Nothobranchius furzeri: one gene and its partners. The protein of the gene in region 2 purifies or fractionates together with the protein of the main gene of each other region. This does not show direct contact. Links are inferred from orthologs where the notes say so. Each region holds a gene or a part of one and is shown on either strand. Other genes may lie near its edges. The genes, in order: ncbp2, eif4a3 and srsf3b.

What was found.
Region 1: the proteins of eif4a3 (region 2) and ncbp2 purify together in Homo sapiens (co-immunoprecipitation; 3 studies listed by BioGRID and IntAct, with this or other methods). This does not show direct contact. The link is inferred for Nothobranchius furzeri from reciprocal best matches to the Homo sapiens genes EIF4A3 and NCBP2.
Region 3: the proteins of eif4a3 (region 2) and srsf3b purify together in Homo sapiens (affinity purification with mass spectrometry; 3 studies listed by BioGRID and IntAct, with this or other methods). This does not show direct contact. The link is inferred for Nothobranchius furzeri from reciprocal best matches to the Homo sapiens genes EIF4A3 and SRSF3.

The regions. Positions count from the first base shown.
Region 1 is NC_091748.1:71,743,411-71,747,522, reverse strand, and holds the start of ncbp2 (nuclear cap-binding protein subunit 2), read right to left. Parts: upstream 2,919-4,112; 5' UTR 1,891-2,918; coding exon 1,816-1,890; intron 1,726-1,815; coding exon 1,639-1,725; intron 1,401-1,638; coding exon 1,306-1,400; intron 831-1,305; coding exon 692-830; intron 1-691. UniProt on the Homo sapiens protein: Component of the cap-binding complex (CBC), which binds co-transcriptionally to the 5' cap of pre-mRNAs and is involved in various processes such as pre-mRNA splicing, translation regulation, nonsense-mediated mRNA decay, RNA-mediated gene silencing (RNAi) by microRNAs (miRNAs) and mRNA export.
Region 2 is NC_091746.1:29,292,059-29,295,706, forward strand, and holds part of eif4a3 (eukaryotic initiation factor 4A-III), read right to left. Parts: intron 1,798-3,648; coding exon 1,682-1,797; intron 1,600-1,681; coding exon 1,492-1,599; intron 1-1,491. UniProt on the Homo sapiens protein: ATP-dependent RNA helicase. Involved in pre-mRNA splicing as component of the spliceosome. Core component of the splicing-dependent multiprotein exon junction complex (EJC) deposited at splice junctions on mRNAs.
Region 3 is NC_091743.1:46,711,459-46,715,888, reverse strand, and holds the start of srsf3b (serine/arginine-rich splicing factor 3b), read left to right. Parts: upstream 1-1,571; 5' UTR 1,572-1,707; intron 1,708-2,374; 5' UTR 2,375-2,382; coding exon 2,383-2,585; intron 2,586-2,680; coding exon 2,681-2,821; intron 2,822-4,430. UniProt on the Homo sapiens protein: Splicing factor, which binds the consensus motif 5'-C[ACU][AU]C[ACU][AC]C-3' within pre-mRNA and promotes specific exons inclusion during alternative splicing.

The DNA of each region.
Region 1 (4,112 bases), on a different chromosome or scaffold from region 2:
AATGCGTGGAGAACTACATCGCTGTTAGTAGAGTGTTGTGGAGATAAAAGTAAACCACGCTGATTAGCCACTGGCTAGCGCACGAGCACTGGAGCGTGTTGGGAGAGACGGCAGGCTGCGGGAAGAGAGGAGACTTGAGTAGAAGGACTTTAGTACAGACACGTTGGGACCGGATCGGGAGTTCTGGTTCTACGAAAAGATGGATGAACAACTTGAGGTGAGTTTGGGAGTCAGAGACACTAATCAGAGGCTGGCTTCCAGATAATGGCGGGCGGGGATCTTGTGTTGGACATGACGAGGAATGGACAAATTTGATGTCTTTTGATTTAGTTGTTTTTAATTCAAACTAACAAGTAGAGCAACGGTGTAGCTATTCTTTTCTATTTCTTAGTTGAATTAGCAGACTTCATGCTTCCAGGGCACACTGCTGCCCTCTGCTGGTTCTTTCAGGTTACAGTCATAGTCCAAACGGTAACGTGGAGCTCGTATGTCCCTAAACAGCTACTGTATTTTAAGATGGTGGATGACCATGGAGCCTCGACCACAGATTATGTATATAAAATGTATAACTATATAAGTTTGCAGTTTGTGAACTGCAAACACAGGATTTGATAGTAAACTGGTAAAAAATATCACACACTGGGCCTTTAAGCAAGTTCACATTATGAACCAAAATGACCGTAAACCTCACCTGTCCTCCAGATTTGCCACGCCCGTACTGCCTGCCCTCCTTGAAGCCTGCGTCCCAGTCTGTCCTGATGATCCGGTCATCCAGCCGGGTACCGTTAACGAAGCGCATGGCGTTCTCTGCGTCTCCTCGTGTGTAGTATCTGGTACAGGCGCAGCTAAGGTCCACACTCTGTTCATTTTCACATCAATGCTACCCTTTTAATACACGACCAGTCAAGACAGAAACACTGTTGACATTTAAACGGTTTGTTTTCTTGTGCATCAATTGGCTTTACTAGATCAGGTGACGATAGAGCAGCAGTACCTCAGGAGGTAGAGTGGGTTGTCTAGTAATTGGAAGGTTGTAGGTTTGATCCCGGCTCCAGCCAGAGAATGCTGCTGTTGTGTCCTTGGGCGAAACTTTTAATCTGCCTTGTCTGCTGGTGGTGGTCAGTAGGACCGGTTGTGCCAGTCTATGCACCCAGGGCAGCTGTGGCAACATTGTAGCTCATCATCACCAGCGTGTGAATGTGTGGGTGGGTGACTAATTGTGTTGTAAAGCACCTTGGGGGGCTGTAGAACCTTAAGAAGATGCTATACAGATACAGGCCATTTACCAATAGTTTAAAAGGATACTCAACAAAACAGAATCCGCAGGCAGTCTTCTTGATTTTATCCAGGCCGATGATGATACGCTTCACGTCTCCACATTTAGCAAACAACTCGTGCACCTGTTCATATTAGCAGTGATTCGAAATATGCCTTCAATCTAGTATAAACCAGCCACAACCGTCTAGTTTTTATAAGCCAACATTCATCAGATCTCAGTAGTAGCTACATCGATCTTGAACATCGGATTATTTAGCTGGTTATAACCACGTTTAGAAGTTCTGAAAGGTTTTCATGGAATAATGTAAGAAGTAAAGCAGTCCTCAGGAAGCCGAAGCTAGCTTTATTTAAAGGTCTTACCTGCTCTTCCGTTGTGTAAAAGGAGAGGTTCCCAACATACAGAGTGTTACTGTGCTTTAGCAGCTTCTCCTGTTCATAACGATTACCCTAAAAACAAACATGACATAAAACTACTCTTAGAGCAGGAGAAAAACACATTTACATACAAAAGTCGAATTCATTCACCTTCTCCCTTACCTTAAAGTGTTGATCTCTATATTGACTAATCTCAGTGTAAGAATCGCTGGTTAAAGCGTTTAGTTTAGAAGACATTTTGGATAAATGACTACTTAGGCAGAATGCTAACGACGCGAGTTTGGATGATGTACTTCCGGGTATTTTGTCCGTCCACTAAATACATCCGGGAGGAAACACGGAGGATCGCTAAATTAGATCATTTTGCGTTTGCTTACAATTTTTTTTTAAGTTTTCGCCTTCATCCGAGCTTTGTAGTTGTTTGTGTGTGTGTTTCTTCTTAGTGTATTAGTGGGAAAAACGCAGAATGCTTTCAAAACTGGAAGTGTTAATCATTTATCAAGAATCAAAAAAGCAGTGAATGGACATAATCTAAATCAAGTCAAATCAATATTTGGTGTGACCATCTTTTGCCTTTAGAACAGCATCAGTTCTAGGTGCACACACACATTTGTTGAAGGAACTGGGCTGGTTCTAAACATCTTGGAGAACTAACCACAGATCATCGGTGGATATGGACTTCTTCACATCCTTCTGTCTCTTCCTGTAATCCTAGACACACGATTGATGTTGAGATCAGGCTCTGTGGGACCAGACCATCACTTTCAGGATTTCTTGTATTTTGGTGCACTTGGACTGCACGTACCTTTTGACCCTAAGGTGGTAGAGAACAAGAGAACCAAGCTCCTGTGGGACTTCCAGACCCAGACTGACAAAATGGTGATGGTGAACCAACCGGACATTGTGGTGGTGGACAAACCACAGAGATCAGCCGTTGTGGTTGATGTGGCGATACCAAGTCATGCAAATCCGGGAAAAGGAGCACGAGAAACTAGAAAAGTACCAGGGCCTCAAAGAAGAACTTAAGCTGGAGAGTGAAGACATCGGTGGTGCCCATGGTCATCAGGGCAATAACCCCCAAACTGCAGGAGTGGCTAAAGCAGATCCAAGGAAAACAATCAGACCTCTCAGTCCAGAAAAGTGCAGTTCTAGGAACAGCTAATATACTGCAGAACCCTCAAGATCCCAAGCCTCTGGTAGAGGACCCAAGGTTGGAAGGATGAGACCACCCACGGAGGGTGAGATGGGGATTTTTATATCAGCATCAGAAGTGTTTTAATGCCATATATGTGCAAGAAATCTCATTAGCAAATTACTGATTTTATATATATATATATATATATATATTCTTTTTCTTCCAACATCAACACCTTCTGCAGTTTTTTTTAAATATTTTTATTTGTACATCTTAAATTCGATTTAAACATTTGCATCTTTATGCTTCTTTTTTTTTATAAACCACGTCCTGTCTGGCTGTAAAGCAATCAGAATTTATGTCTGAACGCTGAAGACGAACCTTACAGTTTTACTCTGTCGGCTAATTTTTGTTTTCGGGCGTTTTACTTGGACCTGAAAGGACGTTTAATTGCTTCTGTTTGAAATATAAATAAAACTGCCTTGTCTAAATGAGATGGTGTAATGGATTAACTTCTAACTAAACCTAATCATTCCTTCATAAACATATGTTTAGGAAAGCAAATACCCAAGGGTATTGAGTCAGTGTCGTCTTCCTCCGCTTATCCGGGTCCGGGTCGCGGGGGCAGCATCCCATCTAGGGAGCTCCAGACCGTCCTCTCCCCGGCCACCTCCACCAGCTCCTCCGGCAGGACCCCAAGGCGTTCCCGGACCAGATTGGAGATGTAACCTCTCCAACGTGTCCTGGGTCGACCCGGGGGCCTCCTGCTGGCAGGACATGCCCGAAACACCTCCCCAGGGAGGCGTCCAGGAGGCATCCTGACCAGATGCCCAAACCACCTCAACTGACTCCTTTCGATCCGGAGGAGCAGCGGTTCTACTCCGAGTCCCTCCCGAATCTCCGAGCTCCTCACCCTATCTCTAAGGCTGAGCCCGGCCACCCTACGGAGGAAACTCATTTCGGCCGCTTGTATCCGCGATCTCGTTCTTTCGGTCATTACCCAAAGCTCATGACCATAGGTGAGGATTGGGACGTAGATCGACCGGTAAATCGAGAGCCTGGCTTTCTGGCTCAGCTCCCTCTTCACCACGACAGATCGGCTCAGCGTCATCACTGCAGACGCCGAACCAATCCGCCTGTCGATCTCCCGATCCCTCCTACCCTCACTCGTGAACAAGACCCCGAGATACTTAAACTCCTCCACTTGAGGTAGGACCTCTCCCCCGACCCGGAGTTGGCAAGCCACCCTTTTCCGGTCGAGAACCATGGTCTCAGATTTGGAGGTGCTGATCCTCATCCCAGCCGCTTCACACTCAGCCGTGAA
Region 2 (3,648 bases):
GACTGAACGTTACAGTAACAGCGGACTGCCTTCGTGTATTCACCTGTACTTTTGCTATCATTTACTTCTTCTTCCTTTTCTCCAAGTGAATTCTCCCACTGTGGGATTAATTAGGTCGATTCTATTCTATGTCCTGGTCCTGTCATTCAGAGTGTCTCAGACATGGACAAGAGACAGAGGACAGAGACGATGTGGGTGAATCTGTGGAAGGGTGAGGCATCTGATCTTAGATGTTAACAGAACAAAGATGATTGTGGATCTTAGGAGAAGAAGGAACACGCAAGACTCGCTCCATCTGACACAGCACCAAGACCGCCCCTTTAACGGTTTTGCGTTACAGTCTTTCAGCTAGATGTGTGCGATGCCGTCGTCGTACTTTTACTAGAACGTCAGCTTTTGACACAGTCCCAACATATTTTTGGACCGGTAACAACTAACCCTAACCCGGCCCTTCAATGGCTGCAGTCCTACTTTGACGTTAAGTGGTGTCTGGATAGGGAAGACCACCTCTGCCTGGGAGAGACTCTGATGATGGGTTCCACAGGGCTCCATGCTGGGCCCCCTCTTTTTGCAGTCTATTTGCTGCCAGTGAGGGGCTCCCTGTCAGCATAATGCGATGGTTCCAGATCTACCCACCTCTCTGTCTGGGGACAGGTGGCTCCGTCTCTCCACTCTAGACTCTTAGGAGGAAGTTAAGTTATGGATGGCCTACAGTTATTTGCATTTGAATATGAACAGAACGGAGGTAATGATTCTGACCACCAATAGAGCCTTCAGGTTGACCTTGCTTCTCTGTCCTCACACGATAGGAAGGTAGTCACGAACTTAAAATTTGATGCTTCTACCAGATGCTGGTCTGAGCCTGGGTGCGGTGGCACGGCTCCAGGTGGCCCAGAACTGGACACTCTGGTTCTTGACAGGTACAAGGAAGAGGGATCATATCGCTCCCGTGTTGGATTTGCTTCACTGGTTCTCGGTTGTGTACCTGGCTAAACTTAAGGTCCTGCTCCATGTCTATAGGGCCCTGCAGGGCGGTGCACCCCGTACCTCACTGCTTTGCTGCACATGGGTTACCTGAACTGAATTTATACACCACCACCCTCACCCTCAGATAAATGGATGGAAACAAGATGGAAATTATATCGGTTGTTAATATCGGCCCAGTTTTGTTTATCGGACTGACACCTATTGATGCGGATATATTGTGCACCCCTAATTTAAGTGGCATCTTCCTAAAGGGTCCCCTCCTGTTGATGGCATCATAGACAGGTCACTGCCACAGCCCTGCTGTCCTCTAGGGGGCGTCTCCTTTCCGCTATTTTAATACACATTTTTTCTTTAGTTGTGTGAATGCTCGTTAGTTTCAGTTAGTTTGCTTTTTTTGTAAAATCTCCTTTATATTTTCAATTCAGTTCATCAAAATGTTTTACCTTTTAGTCTACGTTAACAATACCAGCCTTGATAAGCTCCTCCCACATTAGCGTCTCATACCTGTGGATGTAGAGTTCTCTGTTGTTGGGCAGATCATAGTTGATGATGAGGGACACCTGTGGGACATCCAGACCTCGAGCCCAGACATCGGTGGAGATGAGGACACGACTGTAGGAGAGAGATTTGGTAGAACGTATGTGATGCTGTGGTTTTGAGTGCGTGTCCACCATGTCCGCTGAGAATCTAATACCTTGCTCCAGATCTGAACTCCTTCATGATGGACTCTCGTTCTTTCTGCGGCATGTCTCCGTGCATGGAGGACACAGTGAAGTTGGCCTCCCTCATCTTTTCTGTCAGCCAGTCCACCTGAAACCACACCCACAGGTTGGAGGTTAAACTATTTCTCTGCCTTTGGTTCAGCAGGGCTCAGATCAGCTGATCCTCGGGTCTGGCCGCCGCGCGCACCGGCAGCACGAAGAGAGAGCGGCGCTGCAGACTTTAATCATCAACAGGAAAAAACAGCTTCAACTGTGCAGGAAAAGTTGTTTAAACCAGAGGCCGACTGGTATATCAAATCAAATCAACTTTATTTATAAAGCGCTTTCACACGCCCAAAACGGACAAACAAAGCGCTGTACACCAATAAGAATCACAACAATAAAACAGACATATAACCATTTAAAATACAATAAGAAATCCCGAGTACAAGTTCGCAATCCATATCAGTCCTTTCCCAGAATCAGATCCAGACACATTCAAAGTGATGCTGCCCACCCAATCCCAACTTCAGTGTCCAAACGCTAGGGCTGTAGCGAAGCCTAGATGACGTTGACGGCTCGATTCTAAAAATTTGTCGACGTCAGATCCGGAAGTCGACGCACCGCGCCCACTTGTTGCATCCCCAGGAGTTTGTAAATAGAGGAGGAATCTGTCTGTTTTTCCTCTAGTTCGCCCTCTTCTCCGCCTTCACTAACATCTCCGCCAAATACCGAAGACCCGGAACAATGTCCGTCCACTACTAGATTCCTTTCCTGTTTTGCCCGCCTTCGTCTCCCGGCATCGGACAACTTCCGGGGTCAGATGTGCTGCTCGGTCTCTACCGCAGATGTAGGACATCACCGGGAGCGTTTCTCCCTTCATTAAGGAGCTTCTTTCAGACATGAGGAGAGCTGTTTTGGTGGTAGCAGTCTCTCCTCCGTGCTGGTCTGTTTGCTGCTGGGTGTTTTTGGTTTGTTTAAACTTGGTAACTTGAACTTAACGTTGGTAAAGCTACTGTTAACATTTTCGCTAACAGCTTCTTGCGTTTGGATAAGCCGTTACGTTTTGGTTTAGAGTTCATCTTTTTGTGGCGTAGATCTCCCTTTTATTACATTTAGAGTGTTGTGGGTTTTCGGTTTAGTGTAAAATATCACCTGAGTTTGGTTTAACCCGTAAGACCACTCGCCTCACGCACATAAGTGACCAAAACAAAGCAGCATGGAGACACTCCATCTTCTACCACCTCTCAGGCAGCAGCCTGCACTCCCAAGTTCTACACGTCACCAGAACATAACCAACCAACACAATAAAAGCAGTGTTATACAAAATGGAAGGCCTGTAGTGTTTATTCTCTTACAGTAACAATTTATCAATTTTTTTGAGGAATTTATTTGAGATTTTCTGGTTTTTGTTAATTGTGCAATAGAAAAATAATCATTAGATTAATTTTCTAAATAGTCATTAGAATAGTCGACTATTCGATAAAATAATCGTCAGAATAATCGTTTTAAAAATAATCGTTTACCCCCAGCCCTACCAAACGCCAACGAGAACAGATGCGTTTGTAGTCGGCTTTTAAAGGTCTCCAGTGATTTGGCCTGCTTTACGTCGGCTGGCAGCTCGTTCCACAGACTTGGTCCGAGCGCTGAAAAGGCACGACTCCCACGAGACTTCAGGCTGTACCTGGGCACGGTTAATAGTCTCTGGTCAGCTGACCTAGGGGAACGCACCGGGACATGTCGGTGGATGACGTCACAAAGGTGTTTAGGTGCCCCTGAGTTTAACGCCTTAAACACAAACAGGAAGACATTAAACCTGATGCGATAGGAGACAGGGAGCCGATGCAAGGCACGTGGGACTGGTGTAATATGTTCAGACCTCCTGGTAGATGTTAACAACCGAGCAGCCGAGTTCTGAGCCGCCTGGAGGCGTGCTATTGGCGCTTGCCTAAGCCCCGCA
Region 3 (4,430 bases), on a different chromosome or scaffold from region 2:
GCAGCTATCACAACATTTCACATATGTTGCAGTCAAACTGGTATTTGTGATGGTGTTCATCTGGAATCTTCATAATTTTTAGTCAAAATTCAGTCTTGAGAAGTGTTACCACAGAAGAGGATCAAGGCCACTGAAAAGAAAATGAGTATTCTGACTTTTTGCTCATAATTTTGACTGGTTTTTTTTTTTTTTTTTTTTTTTTTGCTGAGATTTAAAGTCAGAATTCTTAAAAAAATGTAATTCTTAAGACTTCCCTCTCCCCAGCCACTTGAGCAGCTCTTCCGGAGGAACCCAAATGCATTCCCTGGCCAGGTGAGAGGCATAATCCCTCCAACGTGTCCCAGGCCTCCCTTTAGGTTTTCTCTCGGTTGGATGTGCCCGGAAAACCTCACCAGGGAGGCTTCCAGGGCCGCATCAACTGACTCCACTCGATGTGGAGGAGCAGCAGATCTACTCCATGTTGTTTACTTACATTAAAAATAATAATGAAACCTGTCATGCAGGCCTGCAGCACATTCCAAAAGAAAATTAGAACATTTACTTTGGAATGTTGCCCAATGTTCACAATGCTTAGAAGACTGTTTTATTAAAGATACCAGGTGACAATGTTTATCATTGAAAGGGCATCAGTCATCACTGTCTGTCACTTGTGCCCATAGTTGAAAGAATAGGACTTGAAACAGGCTGATCCAGTGGTTAAACCTTTTTCTACTGCTTCAGTGCCTTTTCTAAGATAAGCAAACTGTGCTTTATGCTGTTTAGGTAAAAATAGACTGACTTCGTTGGGAAAAGATGTCTATCTCATTTGTTTTTCTAAATTCTAAAATGTGCTTTTCTGGTTAAAATGCTGTTATTATTTTTCCAAGAACATTGACATGCTCATAAATCTTTACATATCGTGACTTTGGGACATGGGTGACTTGTGCTCAGAAGATCTGTTATCTGTCAGTGAAGTAATACATTTGTAGTGATAATATCACACCAAACCACTTTACACTGGCTTCCGGTAATTTTCAGTATACAGTTAATATTTATAATGCTACTTTTACAGAATAGTTTAATAGTGCGGCATAACTTTGAACTTTTAAACGTTAAAGCAATAATAATAACAGTAATAATAATAATATCTTGAGGATTTTCAGATTCTAAATTTAAAAAAATGAGGGGCCATAATTTTTATTTGGTGGTATTTGGTTAATCATATCTTCTTTTCACATTGGTATTTAATGTCTATATCTAATTCACACTTATTGCTAAGTTGCAGTTTCTGTAATATGATGTTGTTTTGATTTATAACGAACTGTAAATATTAACTTTATTAATGATAATCGAATTTAGGTTGAGTTCTTTCTAAAACGTTTAGAAAACAGCGTCACTAATTTCCTCATGTGGCCATATATGGTATTGTAGCTCACCTCATTTGGCGTTTGAAACAAATCTTTCAAGAGTCAGTAAAATGCCCAACGTGTATTATCGAGTCATCTCGATGACTGAAATGATGAAAGGTATTCAAAAAAGGTATTTAGAGTAGGAGCCAAACCTTTAGAGCAGGAAACATCCCGCCTTGCCCGCTCCCTGCAACTTCCGGGTGAATATATCCGCAGACCAGCGTCTGTTCCGTCACTCCATTTTCCCTCGACCAACCGAGGAGCTCTAACGTGTGGGAGAAGCGTTTTTGCTCAGAGCTGTAACTTCAATCAAAAAACGGTACTGCTTGTTTTAATACATTCATTGTTTATGATATGGAGCTTACTTAGAAGAAACAAATTTCGGGGCGCGTGTTTTTTTAACTACGTGCACATGGTTTCATTGTTCGGGTTGATTTAGAGCGCCTCTAGCCGAGAGTAGGCCGCGGAAAGACGGCAGCCATCTTATTTTTACAGCTATTAGCGCCGACATTTACTCTGCCGAGTTTTTTCCTAAATGTTTGTATATGTTGATTTGTTTGTTTCGGTTCATTGGAAACTAAAGCGAGTTTGGTTTCATTGGTAACGCCTAATTCATGATTTGGTTTCCGTGCTTGCTAATGTTAGCACTTATCGCTAACGGAAACTAGGTCATGTATTCTTGTTCAGCCTGGGGTTGAATTTATTTATTTCTAATAAGATATTAAAATGTTTTATCGGGTCACAGAACACTTTTGTACATGCATCTAGATTAAAGGCCTGTCTTTTATCACATTACTGTGTTTACATGGGCTATATTTTTACCATCCTAGTACGATTTTCTTCATTTAAAACATCCTAGTATGATTTTCTTCATTTAAAACTATCTAACATATCATTCCTAATTTGTGCAACAGGAAGAGAAACAATGCGGTTTTCGCCTAACGGATCTAACTGCTTCCCATTTTTCTCTTTGCTGTTGATCTCAGCTCCAGTCATGCATCGAGACTGTCCCCTAGACTGTAAAGTCTACGTTGGAAATTTGGGCAACAATGGAAACAAGACGGAGCTAGAGAGAGCTTTTGGCTACTACGGCCCCCTCCGCAGTGTCTGGGTGGCCAGGAACCCCCCAGGTTTTGCCTTTGTGGAGTTTGAAGACCCTCGAGATGCAACTGATGCAGTTCGAGAGCTTGATGGAAGGTGAGTGTAGATGTATATTTTGCTGTAAACGCAGAGGGCATCTGAATTAGTTCTGCAGGAGCTAACGACCTCTGCCCTTTGTGATTGGCCACCAGGTCACTTTGTGGTTGCCGAGTTCGAGTGGAGCTGTCCAATGGAGAAAAACGTAACCGTAGCCGTGGAGCTCCCCCTTCGTGGGGCAGGCGTATTCGAGACCGAGATGACTATCGACGTCGTAGCCCGCCTCCCCGACGAAGGTGACCTAAGTGTATTTGATAACAGACAATAGAGATAAATTGTATTTTTAACATTCTTGCTGATTTACTCATCCATCTCTTTCCTGCTGATAACATTGGTGACTGTTGGTCTATCAAAGCCTTGCAGTTTCATCCTCATTGGCATTAGTCATTTAGTACAACCAGCCAAACAGGTATTTGATCCAATTACAGAATTATGCCTTTTAGACAGGACATTGTTTTTGACAATGTAGCCTCTATGTTGAAAGCTGCTTAAGTGTCACGCAAAATGTGACTTTTGCTTCAGACATAAATACTTCTTTGAAGTGTGTACTGTTGTGTGCTTAAAATGTTAAGACTTAAGGTGGCAAAATAGGGCTGTGAATCAGGTTTAGGCAGAAAAGAAAGGGCTTTATTCATAAAAATATGACTTGTTTAAAGATTTTGGTGGATGAAAGTGCCAAATGTGTTGTGAAAAATTCCTTTTTTTTGTTTGAGGATGCTTTATACTTTTTATCTATATTAATAAGAATGAAACCCGTTGCAGAGCCACCACCATGCCTCTTCTCACCACCCTCTGAGTCAGTCAACTAGTCTTCTTTCAGCATCATGTGACTGCTGACCATCGGGCCCCAATCAGCTTGGCTTGTGCTGTCACATGACCCAGGCATGGCCAGTCGTCAGGTTGCACCAGCCCATTGGTTCCTCAGCATGCCGTTCTCAACCTCCTTCTCCTTCAACCTTTAACCAAACGGCAGCGGCCCACATCACATTCCCGACCAATCAGCGTATTATGTTCCCAAAAGTCTACAACCTACCGGCAGCAGCCTTCGGCTTACCAATTAAAGCAGGAATAAAGCCACAACCAGCCCCCATCTGCCTGCCATCTAATCACCTTGCAGCATCCGGCCAGTCCCATTCAGCCAATTCTACCTACCCGGCCGACAGTCTGCCTCCCTTTCGTCATATCTAGCTTGTTGAAATCCAAAAATACTAGTAAGTTTTCCTGCTTCATTCAGTACACTGCAGATTACAGTTTTAACACTGAAGAAACAGCTGGTTTGAAAAGGTTATTTCTTTATCTCATTTATTGGTTTGTCGTTTTATTATCCACTATTTTTCAAACAGGAATGATTTTATATCAAATATCTGGAACGTCATGTTTCCAGAGGTTTTGATATGATAGCTAATGTTCTTTTACTTGATACACACACCATCCAAAACTCAAGCCTTTCTATGACTCAGTCTATGATTGTGGTGTTGGCGGCGACATTTTAACCTGGTTTTTTTCTCAATTTATTTCCTGTGACATATACATCTTTACTAGCCTCCATTTTTGTTTAGGTATTTCTTTTGAAGTGAACCAGTTTCATACAGATGGTGGCCCCTGTACGTTCTTATTTTTCACACACGGGCCAGTCCACAGTACAGTGTTTGCTCTTCTCAGAGCCCAAACCCTCTTAAATTATTAATGGGATTCATTAGACAGTACTTATTACAATTACAAAAGTTACTCATTGTACTGTGGGATAGGTGAGAGGAGATTACTTGACACCTGCCATCTTTATGTGCTAGGTTTACTGCCAGTGGCTATTTTCTGATACATTTTTCTGAGAGGGGGAAAACATTT